Linked DNA regions of Yarrowia lipolytica. The protein of the gene in region 2 interacts with the protein of the main gene of each other region in a pairwise test. Links are inferred from orthologs where the notes say so. Each region holds a gene or a part of one and is shown on either strand. Other genes may lie near its edges.

Region 1 (5,410 bases), on a different chromosome or scaffold from region 2:
TACATAGTGGAAAGCAGAGGCTCTCCAGTTCATGACTGGTGTTGTGCTACAGTATGTACTAGGCATACATATCAAACTAGTACCTCACGTGATATGAGCACTGTGTATTGAATAAATACCCCACACACTCGGACTCATCACCCATGCCCGGCTTCCCCTGGTGTGTGGATATGCTGTCAGTTCACGTAGCTTACCTCGCGTGACTGACTAACAGGATACTTGGTGCCTTTGGCAGTGCCGTTGATTACCAGCTGTCTACGGTCTGGAAGTAGCGACAGTACCGCAAGCCTTGCATGTTCGCTTTTCAATGTCACCGTCAAAATCAAGAATGGCCTCCTTAATCTGGGTGCCGAGATCGACGAGCTGGAACGAGTTCTCAAACACAATCTCTCGGCACTTTTCGTTAGGACAGTACCATCGCAGAGCGTCCTTCATGCCCTCGGGACGGTCCTGTTCAACCACAACACCAATGGTGTCGGCATATCGAACGGGGTTGTGGGGCACGTTGGCGGGGAGCAGGAAGATATCGCCCTCGTTGATAGTGATATCTCTGAACTCTCCATCGTCCACCACCTTGAGAGTCATGTGGCCCTTCTTCTGGTGGAACCATTCAGGGGTCTGGTTGATGTGGTAGTCAGTTCGAGCATTAGGTCCTCCAACGATCTGTGTTAGTTGATTGGGCAATGGCAAATCACAATAGTTGTGAATCATCTTCCCCAGCTGGATCATTGACTCATGTCATAAATCACTCACCATAACAGTGTAGCCTCCTCGCTGGATACAAAAGTTGTTAACCGGAGGCTTCAGCAGGTGCTGGTTCTCCTCGAGCCACTTGGGCAGATTGATTGGTTCCTGGAGCATGGGTGACGAGTGGTGAGATGTACTGGAAAAGAAGAGCTCACGCCATATTCTATATGCCATGTATGTGGGGCGAATAAACTCAGACAATCATGTGGGGGTGGAGGGAGTATATCTTAGTGTTGAGGAGATGATTGAGAAACTGGACTATGTAGATGGGATTTTCTTGCCTGAAATATTCATTTGACGGTTTCAAAATAAAAAATGGACCCCTTCTCGCCCCAAAATCAGCTTTCGGAGTTATGTTAATCTCCGTAAGCATGCAGGATTCATATGCACTTAATCAGTAGAGACCCTTGATTATGTTAACCAAGTCTGCGGTAGACCAGCAGGTGGGCAGACAAGAGTTGGATTTGTTAATGAGGTTTTAGAAGGTGCGGCAAAGTAGTGATAGCCACTGGCTGACACTTGTGAGCTAAAGTGGCCATGTATGGGGTCAGATACACAGCCACTGTATCAAGTGTTACAGTACACGATGTTCTGGTAGCTGTCTATTCCAAAACACCTCCACACCTTCAAAGCTCTTCAATTGTGCGCTCTCATTTTAGCAATCGAATTGGTATGAGCTTTGGGCGCAGTTTATACGCTTTTGCGATGCTTTCGGTTTCTCTGGTCATGTAATCTGGTTGGATATGATGCAAAGAACGGCAACATGTACAGTATTCACCGATCCAAATCAAACACATCAGGATAACCACACCAGTTAGCTTATGTAATCATGATCCCAACAGAATCCCCAGCAGGGGTGCTTTGAGGCACAAGTCGACAAGTTGTCTTAAGATTACAAGAATATAAGTATCTCGATCCAGTCAAATCAGTCAAATCAGTTTAATCTCATTCTACCAACCCATTCAACTACACCACCGCCGCTCACGTCCCATCCACTCGTACCCACCTGCAAATCGAACTCGCGCCACCTCCCAATAACCTTCTTTAGGCTTCTCACAACCACATCCACATACAAGTAGACGTCATTGGAATTGCCACTGATCTCTTTACCACCCGACATCGATCTCAATCATGGCTGCCAAGGACGTGACTAATAAGCCGAGCGACAAGTCGGCTGAGAAGACCGTCGACAAGACCGCCCCCAACGACAAGAACAAAAAACCAGCCCGAAAGGATGAAGAGGAGCTGTCTGAGGAGGACGAGAAGCTCAAGTCGGAGCTGGAGATGCTGGTTGAGCGTCTGACCGAGAAGGACGAGTCTCTGTACGAGCCCTCGCTCGAGGCTCTCAAAAACTTCATTCGAACCTCGACCTCGTCCATGACCGCTGTGCCCAAGCCTCTCAAGTTTCTGCGGCCCCACTACCCCCAGCTTGCTGAGCTCTACGACACCTGGACCGATGCCAAACACAAGCAGCAGCTCGCAGACGTGCTTTCCGTCCTCGCAATGACCTACTCCGGCGACGGCAAGCGAGATGCACTCAAATTCCGACTCAAGTCGACCACCGACGATCTGGGATCTTGGGGACACGAGTATGTTCGCCACCTTGCTCTGGAAATCGGCCAGGAGTATCAATTGCAGCAGGTTGAGACCAGCGACGATGCCAAGGAGGGCGTAACTCTGGACACCCCCAATTCTGGTGTTGGATCGCTCACCGACGTACGAAACCTGGGCATCAAGCTGGTACCCTTTTTCCTCAAACACAACGCCGAAGCCGACGCCGTGGACTTGTTGCTGGAGATTGAGGCCGTCGAGCATCTACCTAAATTCGTTGACGAAACCACATACGCCCGTGTTTGCCATTACATGGTCGCCTGTGTGCCCCTGCTGGCACCCCCAGATGACGTGGCCTTCCTACACACCGCTTATGCTATCTACCTGGCCCACCGCCAGCTGACCCAGGCTCTGGCCCTGGCGATCCGTCTGGATGACATGGAGCTCATTAAATCGGTTATGGATGCTGCCAGTGGCGACGATTTGCTGCAGAAGCAGCTGGCGTTCATTCTAGCTCGACAAAAGTGCTACTTTGATGTGGCTGACGAGGGCGTACAGGAGTGCATGTCCAACGCCCTGCTGGCTGACCACTTCCGATACCTCACTAAGGAGCTCAACCTGCTGGAGCCAAAGGTTCCAGAAGACATCTACAAGAGCCACCTGGAGAACTCAAGAGACATCATCATGTCGGGGGCCTTTGACTCTGCCAAGCAGAACCTGGCTGCGTCGTTCGTCAATGCCTTTGTCAATTGTGCTTACTCGGCAGACCGTCTGCTGACCAATGGAGGTGCTGAGGATGATGGAGACGCTACTGCTGGAGGAGCATCTGGTGCCTGGATCTACAAGACCAAGCTCGCTGGAATGTACTCCACCACAGCCTCTCTGGGATCTCTGTTCCAGTGGGATCTCAGTCGAGGTCTGCAGCAACTCGACAAGTACGCCTACTCTTCCGAGCCCCAGATCAAGGCTGGAGCTCTTCTGGGTATGGGTATTGTCACTGCTGGTGTCTACGACGAGACAGACGCTGCTGTCGCTCTTCTTGCCGACCACATCACCGAGGAGCCCTCAGCTGAGAACAACAACGGCAACGCATACAACTTGAACCAGCTTTCTGCTGTGATGGGTCTGGGTGTTGCATACGCCGGATCTCGACGGACAGATCTTCTGGATATGCTCCTGCCTTTGGTTCAGGACACTGACACCTCCATGAAGACCTCTGCCATGGCTGCTCTTGCTCTGGGACACATCTTCGTCGGCTCTGCTAACGGAGACGTCGTTTCTGCTCTGTTGGGATCTCTGCTTGAGCGAGATGCCATCCAGCTGTCTGACAAGTGGGCCCGATTCATGGCTCTGGGTCTTGCTCTTTTGTTTATTGGCAAGTACGAGGAGATTGAGGAGGCAGTTGAGACTGTTCGAGCCATTGACCATCCTCTGGGCCGAATCTGCGAGACTCTCATCACTGTGTGTGCCTACGCCGGTACTGGTAACGTTCTGCAGATCCAGAAGTTGCTGCATGACTGTGTTGGAGAGAATGTTACTGAGGGAGAGGCTGACGGAGAAGGCGATGGTGAAGGTGAGGGTGCTGAGGGTGCTGTTGCTACCGCTGAGGGTGCTGAGGGTGCTGCGGATGCTGCTGACGCCATTGACGCTACCGCCGAAGCCGTCGCCGCCGAAGGAGAGGCTGCTGCTGATGCTACACAGGAGGTGGACTCGGAAGAGGCCTCTTCTCACCAGGCATACTCTGTTCTTGGTCTGGCCATTGTTGCAATGGGTGAGGAAATTGGCCAGGAGATGGTTCTCCGACACTTTGGTCATCTCATGCACTACGGCGATGCCCAGGTGAAGCGAGCTGTTCCTCTTGCCATGGGTCTGGTGTCTGCTTCCAACGCACAGATGCGTGTGTTTGACACCTTGTCGCGATACTCACATGACGCCGATATGGAGGTTGCTCTGAATTCCATCTTCTCCATGGGTCTGGTGGGAGCGGGAACTAACAACGCCCGTCTGGCCCAGCTGCTCCGACAGCTCGCCTCCTACTACTCTAAGGATCCCGACGGACTTTTCACCGTCCGAATCGCCCAGGGTCTGCTCTATCTGGGTAAGGGTACTCTTACTGTGTCTCCTTTCCATACCGATCGACAGATTCTGTCCAAGGTGTCTCTGGCATCGCTGGTTACCCTTCTGGTGACCATGATCGACCCCAAGTCGTTCATCCTAGCCGACAACCACTGGATGCTCTTCTGGCTCACTAACGCCATTCGTCCCCGCATGCTCATCACTCTGGACGAGAAGCTGGAGCCTATCAAGGTGCCCGTGCGAGTCGGACAGGCTGTGGATACAGTCGGTCAGGCCGGAAAGCCCAAGACCATCACCGGCTGGGTCACTCATAGCACTCCCGTGTTGCTGAGTCATGGCGAGCGAGCCGAGCTGGAGGACGACGAGTACATTCCTCTGGCCTCGTCTCTGGAGGGCGTTGTCATTCTCAAGAAGAACCCCGACAGAATGGATGAGAGCAGTTAGCATACTCTGATAGGTATGGAATGAATAAATGGAAATGAATAGTAGGATACAGCAATAAATGGCAGGAGCGTAGTAACGGATGTACAGCCGCGATTTGATCTATTCTAAAGTCAGTAATAGTTATTCAGATTCTATAGCGTAGCTACAGTACAAGTGACAGTACGACGATACTCTGAACTGTAGGTAATTTCAGATGATTATTCTATACATACATTCGTACCGTAGTAGTTTCGTGGTTCATCATAATCCATCGCTGACCACAGACAATAACAGGTTCGCTCACATCGTCTATTTGTTCTGTGTGATCGACTCCTCCATCTCCGCAACCAACTTCTTTCGGTCGTCCACTCTCTCCTTCTCCTCGATAGCCTTACCCTCCCATCTGCTCCAGATGAGCTGTTCACAAGAGTTGATGCTGGCTCTGGCCTTCTCAAAAACTGCAACAGAGAAGTCGCTGCAGAGAGCGTCCCAGGTCTTTTGCAGCTTGAAACATCCCCAGACAATACCAAAGGCTGCGATAGAGCCCATGTTGTAAAGAGAAAGGTCGTAGAGGTATACTCCAAGAGCAGGAATGATGACTGTAGGAAGCTGG
Region 2 (3,773 bases):
GTGTCTGTGGGCGTTTGTGCGCTCTCGGTCTCGTCGTATTCAGCCCAGTTGTGTTCCTGTCGACTATCGTAAGTGGAGATGCAAACTGGAGCGTAAACTTACGGTTTGGCCAAGACGAGCGTGGTCTATGCATGTTCCCTTTGACAACCGGAGCTAAAGTGAAGTATAACGACATACCACGCAATCGTTTAGAACCGGACCGGACAAGGTGAGGTGGACGCGAGGATGGAGACGGACAGCTTATTATATAGATGTCAGTTGTGTTTGTGTCTTTTGCTTCTTGTTTGAGAGCAAGGACTGTTTTTTTTGTTTTTATTTTCCACTGATCTCTGAAATAAGAAGGGGCTTGTTCCCTACGAAATGACATCATAAATAAAGCATGTTTTCTTAGTGAGAAATCATGTTAAAGCGTTGAAAAATCGCAAACCACGGGTACAGCATTTATACAGGTGTCTTTGCAGCCTCTCACGACTCGTACAATTTCATCAGATTAGGTATATAACATACTTATGCATAGAAAGACACGGACTTGGACTTTCGTGCCTGGACCTCGGTGATGGCCTCAACAAAGTCCTCGTGGGTGATCTTGTTCTTGCCAGACCGAAGCGCAATCATACCCGCCTCCACAGTCACAGCCTTGAGCTGTGCTCCGTTGAACTCGTCGGTAGATCGTGCCAGCTCCATCCAGTTGATGGAGTCGTCGCAGGTCATCTTTCGCGAGTGGATCTGCAGAATGTCGGCTCGTGCCGATTCGGAAGGCAGAGGGAACTCAATCTTTCGGTCAAGACGTCCGGATCGAAGCAGAGCGGGATCCAGCACATCGACTCGGTTGGTGGCGGCAAGGACCTTGACTCGGTCGTCGGATCCGAAACCGTCCAGCTGGTTGAGCAGCTCCAACATGGTTCTCTGCACCTCTCGGTCTCCGGACTTGTCCGAGTCGAATCGCTTCGTTCCAATGGCATCCAGCTCGTCGATGAAAATGATGGTGGGGGCCTTCTCCTTGGCCAGAGCAAAGGCGTCTCGCACCAGCTTGGCACCGTCACCAATGAACATCTGAACCAGCTGGGGCGCAGCCAACTTCAGGAAAGTGGCGTTAGATTGGGCGGCACAGGCTCGGGCCAGCAGAGTCTTTCCGGTTCCGGGAGGGCCGTACATGAGAGCGCCCTTTGGGGGCTTGATGCCGAGTTGCTTGAACTTTTCAGCCTGCTTGAGAGGCAGTACCACGGCCTCCACGAGCTCCTCCACCTGCTTGTCAAGACCTCCAATGTCTGCGTAGGTTTCCTTGGGCTTTTCGTCCACCTCCATGGCCTTGACTCGCGAGTCGTACTCTGCGGGCAGGGTGTCCAGAATCAGAAACGAATCCTTGTTGACTCCAATCAGATCGCCGGGCTTGAGAGTTTCAGGATCGACGAGTCCCACGAGCGGCAGAAACACCGTTTGTCGGGTGGACGTTTTGATGACAGCAGACTTGCCGACTCGAGACGCCTCCACGTCAACATTGGCGCCCTCCTCGGCCACCTCGCCCTCCATGTCCAGCAGCTCCACCACGTTGCCAACCAGATACGGCAGCACCTTGTTGTTTTCAATCTTGTCCGCGTTGTCCTTGATCTTCTCGTTCATGGTGTTGCGCTCGTGGCTGAGCCGCTGGAACTCGGACTTCATGATTTTGATTTCATTCTCCAGAAGCCGTTTGCGGTTGAGAATGTCTTGGGTCGAGTTGGACGCAATGTCGAAATCTAGGTCTTCCATTGTCACGGGCAGAGTCTTATGTGTGCGTAGCGGTGGTGTCTAGAATAAAAAGTGCGGGCACAGAGCTAACACGGATTGTGATGATGGTCTAGTTGGAGTGTTGGTTGTGAGCTGAGAGAGGTGCCCTGCGGTGATGTGGTGGACACACTGTTCGAGAAACCTTAATTGCCACTGAAGTGGTAGAGCAACACTGGACACCAAAGGAAGACTGTCGCAGACGATCTAGAGACGCTATCGAAAATCCAAAGACACAGCTCGACGTAAAATCACGTGATTTCGTAATATTGTGTTTTTTGTTTTGGAAATACCGTCAATTGCCGTTGTTTGGATATACTCCTTTGGCTCCAAAGTTATAGCCCTCATCCAACCAACCATTAATATAATTAGTATTAATTATATATGGTTAAATCAATCAGACACACTTCTTCTTGAGTCTTCCAACACTGATATTGGTGAGTCTGTACGTCTTACGTTATCAAAAGGTCTTGATCTGGCCATTAATCACGTCACTCGTGATCTCTGATTAGTCATTATTTGTATATATGTCACAGCACGCCACCGGTTGCCACTTTTGCTTATGTCAGCGATGGCGTTGGTTGACATACAGTGGTCCAAGTGTTCTACACCGGTATGTACAAGACGAACACAGTGTCGATTATGTAAGTAAGGATCCTCTCATTTCGTTTATTAATCACCAAATCCCATTTCTGTACACAGATCAATCGTGTTGGTTTTTTTATTTTTTTTATTTTTCTTTCTTTTTTTTCTTCTTTCTTTCTTCTTTTTTCTTTTTTATTAATAATCAGTCACTATCACTATCTAAACCTAATTCAGCTATCAAGTCACTTGACTATTATGACGACGGCGTGAGCTGATCACCAAAGAGACACCATCAGTACTAATACCGTCCACCTGCCAGTTTGCATGTCACAACCGGAAGCCGCGCTCAACAAGGCGTATTCACTGGCCAAGTCGGCGCAAACGGCCGTCGCCAACAAAGACTATGGTAAGGCGATAGAGAAACACAAGGAGGCCGCTTCTCAGCTGCTACAGGCCAAGAAACTGTCCTCCAACGCGTCGGTTCAACGGGCGCTCGATACCATGTATGCGCACCATCTTGGCGAGTCGTCTAAACTCGAGGGCCTTGAGAATTCACGGTTATCGCGAATTGCAAGAATCGATGAGGAGGAAGCAGAAGAGTTGGAGCAGCAACAGCAACAGCAACAGCAACAGCAACAGCAACAGCAACCGGCGCTGGTGACAGGAGAGGTGTCGCGTGCGGACATGGATTTCGCCCAGATCATCGACCGGTTTGTCAATCTATCCATCTCCATGAACAATCAACAGGAGTTTGAATTCGACGCGCCCATGTCGGAGACGGAGGACTTGCAACAGACGGTATCGCGTCTGAAAGTGCATGTCAAAGCGCTGGAGCGGAATGCCCAGATGCGTTCCACGTCGTTGCAGAGTCTCGGTACCAAGCTACGGACGGAGCTGACGGAGCATAACGAGGCGACGATGAGAGATCTGCGGGCTGAAAACGCCCAGTTGCGGGCCGAGAACGAAAAACTCAACGCCCAGATGACAAAAATGAAATCCAAGTGGGACTCTCTTGTTCAGAATGCCTTGAACAAGCGTAAGGAGAGGGGGTAGAGGACGACGGTAGGTATGTATGGGGGATGGAATCTGCTATATTATCTGTACAACTATACTAATGTTATTTATTTATGCGAAACTGATAATTCTGATGGCTGAGGTCTGTCTGTAATCAGGTGTCTCTCCACTACAGGCAGTACTTTGATGTTGGGTAAAGAATGTCTAAAATTCAACTATTTAGCCAACTATATATTAAGTAATCCTAACTAAATGTCATTAACTGCCTACCTGCAAGACAAACTCTATTTACAATATATAGAAAGGGAACTTTTGAATCTGAAAAACCACTTTCATACACCCACAATGTCTGGACGACGACGATCTCTTTCGCCACGCAACAAGCGGCCTGCTCCCCGCAGCTACGGCGA
Region 3 (3,275 bases), about 680 kb from region 2:
AGATCAAAGCTCTGATCCTACTCTTGTGTACTGGTACTTGTAGTTGACAGAAGAGACAACAGCGGCATTTGGGCCCACCTCATGTTAATCCAAATAGCTCTTTCTATATGAAGATCTCAGGTCATCAATTGATCCGTCAAAGGCTATCCATTGATGTTCTTGGTGGTACGCATAACTACAATTTTCTTCTGATAGAGGACATTTCCTCCTCAAACACATGTTTAATGGATTCTACATACAATAACTCATATAAACCTCGGACAGAACTGGGAAGAGCATGATTATATTCCTGCCATCGAGAATCGCCAACGGTGTCAGCAGATAAGGTACAGCCCCGCATCCCTTAATGAGCAAGCTAATTATCCAATCCATCACAACCACGATAAAACAACCAGAGTAGCTCAGATACACAGCATCTACATGTTCACAGCTACACCACACCACCTCAATTCCCCTCGTGCTTGCACTCAGAGAACTTGCATTCATATATCATTGATTCCTACCTATCCTAGGGCTGCACTTCTAAGGTGCGTATGGATTAGTGCAGGGTGGACGAAGTCGATCTTGTGATTATAACACATGATCTGTGTCTACCAATTCCTTCGTCGCATCGCGCTCAGTCGCCCTAGTCGCCTCTCAATTGTGCTTCACATATTTCAAGCGTGCTTCGATTACGCACTCGTATCCATCTTGTCGTCATCCTTCTTGTCCTTACCCTTGTCCTCTCCACTTGCATCCTCATCTTCCTTCTTCACGTCCTCTTCCTTAACCGAATCCAGCTTCTCGGGCTGCTCCTTCTCCTTCTCCAGTCGGGCCTTTTCGTCCTCCAGCGACATTCGCAGCGCCAGAGCCAGCTCGGGATCCACGCTGGGGTCCACACCAAACTCAAAGTCCGCGTCGTTGGAGCCGCCAGGAGCGCCGCCCATGCCCGAAGTATCCATTCCGTCGTCGTCTTCCTTGATGATGGGAGAGTTGCGCAGAATGTCTGACAGCAGATGAGGGCCAGGGGGGATGGTGACCAGGTGAGAGTTGTCGCCTGAGTTGACGGCCTCGATGAACTTTTCCAGCTTCTCTGTGTTTTCGCCCTCCTCGCCGAAATTGACAAAGTCCACCGCCACGCTGTTCTTCTTCATCTTCTTGGCAAGCTTGACCAGTGCCTTGACGTCCTCCTCGACCGGCGATCCCACAAACACAATCACCCGTTGCCGCTGCAGCTTGTTGAGTCTGTGTTTGAGAGCCAGCGCGGCCACCTGAATGCCTGTGGTGAGGTGGGGAGCACCGGTGATATGAGTGTCGTGGATACCGGCCAGAATCTTGCCGTGGTCTGTGGTGAGGGTGGCAAGCACCTCAGGACCTCGGCCGCCCATGCTCATCAGACCCACTGCGCTCTCAGGGTTGCGGTTGGTCTTGATGGTGAAGAGCTGGTTGACACAGTCCACCTGGGCATCGAACCGGTTGGGGGTGTAGTCTCCGTTTCGCATGAACTCGGAGTTGTCCATTCTGTGTTAGCGGGGTGTGGATAACATCATTGGCCGTCGGTAATACTCACACTATCATTGTTGCTTCCAAAACCATCGTGATGCGCTTCTGTTGTGTCTTGTTGTGTGGTGTGTAGAGTGGTGATCTGTGGCAATGGTTATAGTGGTTGGGACAGAGTGCTGACGTCAGCGGTGATAGAGTTTGGACAGTAGGCGATTTGCCACCATATCAAGTGTGGCGGATTTGGGCTGGTGAGAGCGGAATTTGCACTATCTTTGGGGAAAAGTTGGATATATTAGTTACTTCTTTTAAAAACCCGATCGGAGTACTGGAAGTCGAGTTATGGGAGAGTATTGAGGGTAGCAATGCTCAACTGTTGCCCTAAACAATACTGAGTTTAATTAGTTAGCTTTAGTTGGAGACAGAATCTTCAAAAAAGTTGTCCTAGACTGGAGCAATTTGATATTTGAGAGTCATAGCTGCTGATTGTTTCCTATTTTGATTATGTTTTTTTTTATATCTTCTTACTCAACAGTCATCTGGACCACTTGTGGCGCATAGCAATGATGTCCCTATTGTCATATTGAGCTAATGGGACCATTATCATCAGATCTCCCTCGTAAAATGCGGTCGGTAAATACAATATAGAGACTTTGGTATATCAAAATGATTGTCTTTGTCAGCTTATTCTGATTGAGTCACTCGTTTCTCAATTTTTTGCTTCTTTCCAACGGAACCAATCTTCCACAAACCAAGCCCTTTCATCTTCTCACCTCATTTGCTGACTAATCAACATAAAGTTTTGATATTATAACCTTAATCATATATCCCAGCGTAACCGGGGCAACGTAGATAAACAGAGGATCGGCATGACAACTTCACCAGCACACAGCACTCAACACACATCACCGACATTTTCCACTTTCACTATGCCCACGGAAATGGACCAGTTTCCTAGCAACATGGCCCGCAAGCCGCTGACTGAGGTCCAGAAAAACGACCTCATTGAAAACCTACAGCTCGAACGTGAGTATAGGGACTCCATTCAGAGGGCACAACATACAAACAGACTCGGTATTAACACAGTCACCAACAGAATCGAGCGACTCAAGTCGCAATATCAATTTGCTGCGCAGGCGGTTCGCGCCAAAATTGAAATCAGAAAGACCCGCGTGCCCAAACGGTACTGGAACAAGACTTTACGGGAGGTCCAAGCTCTGCAGGATGGAGCCCTCAAGGACAGAAAGCCAAACAAGTTGAATTTCGGCCAGGGATTCCACAACATTCCCAAGTTCACAATTCCCCATGAGTGAGTGTGGTTAGGAAAGGTGGAGAAGGTGGAGTTTTATGCGGATTGTCATTATACCTGGTTTTTTCTGACTTTGTCTGATTATGAAGATGTCAAATCAGAAGAAATTGGGAATAAATAAATGGGAAAGTCACTCAAGAAGGAGGAAGTTGATACCTACAGTGCTTCTACAAGCGGTTGACATGATATTTACACGTCTAGAGTTTCTGACATGTCAGTTTGTATGTATCACTACTCAGCTGCACAATCTGTCTACAGGTACAGTATTTGTACATTCAGCCAGTGCTTCCTCTGAACTCAACTTGAGAAGTTGTTGTCTCCTCGTGACTTACGGCCATTCACTACATTAAATTAACTAACCCAGCATGACCACACCCATGGATTTGGACGCTCGGCTTAACACAAAGTCGCCAATTCGATCCCCTGGCAAGTCGCTGCGTTCACCAATGCGACCGGCCACCTCGTCTCCTGTCAAAGTCAGACCTAC

What was found.
Region 1: the proteins of YALI1_D11614g (region 2) and YALI1_B04321g interact in binary tests that used the Saccharomyces cerevisiae proteins (3 or more experiments, as listed by UniProt). The link is inferred for Yarrowia lipolytica from reciprocal best matches to the Saccharomyces cerevisiae genes RPT5 and RPN1.
Region 3: the proteins of YALI1_D11614g (region 2) and YALI1_D04772g interact in binary tests that used the Saccharomyces cerevisiae proteins (3 or more experiments, as listed by UniProt). The link is inferred for Yarrowia lipolytica from reciprocal best matches to the Saccharomyces cerevisiae genes RPT5 and RPN10.

Annotation. Positions count from the first base shown.
Region 1 is NC_090771.1:430,282-435,691, forward strand, and holds YALI1_B04321g (uncharacterized protein), read left to right. Parts: upstream 1-1,878; coding exon 1,879-4,818; downstream 4,819-5,410. Other genes in the region: YALI1_B04309g (uncharacterized protein), read right to left, coding at 256-663, 754-861; YALI1_B04370g (uncharacterized protein), read right to left, coding at 5,107-5,410.
Region 2 is NC_090773.1:1,159,674-1,163,446, forward strand, and holds YALI1_D11614g (uncharacterized protein), read right to left. Parts: upstream 1,750-3,773; coding exon 508-1,749; downstream 1-507. Other genes in the region: YALI1_D11623g (uncharacterized protein), read left to right, coding at 2,674-3,402; YALI1_D11633g (uncharacterized protein), read left to right, coding at 3,709-3,773. UniProt on the Saccharomyces cerevisiae protein: The 26S proteasome is involved in the ATP-dependent degradation of ubiquitinated proteins. The regulatory (or ATPase) complex confers ATP dependency and substrate specificity to the 26S complex.
Region 3 is NC_090773.1:476,611-479,885, forward strand, and holds YALI1_D04772g (uncharacterized protein), read right to left. Parts: upstream 1,558-3,275; coding exon 1,550-1,557; intron 1,501-1,549; coding exon 1,304-1,500; intron 1,259-1,303; coding exon 680-1,258; intron 616-679; coding exon 539-615; downstream 1-538. Other genes in the region: YALI1_D04789g (uncharacterized protein), read left to right, coding at 2,349-2,792. UniProt on the Saccharomyces cerevisiae protein: Multiubiquitin binding protein.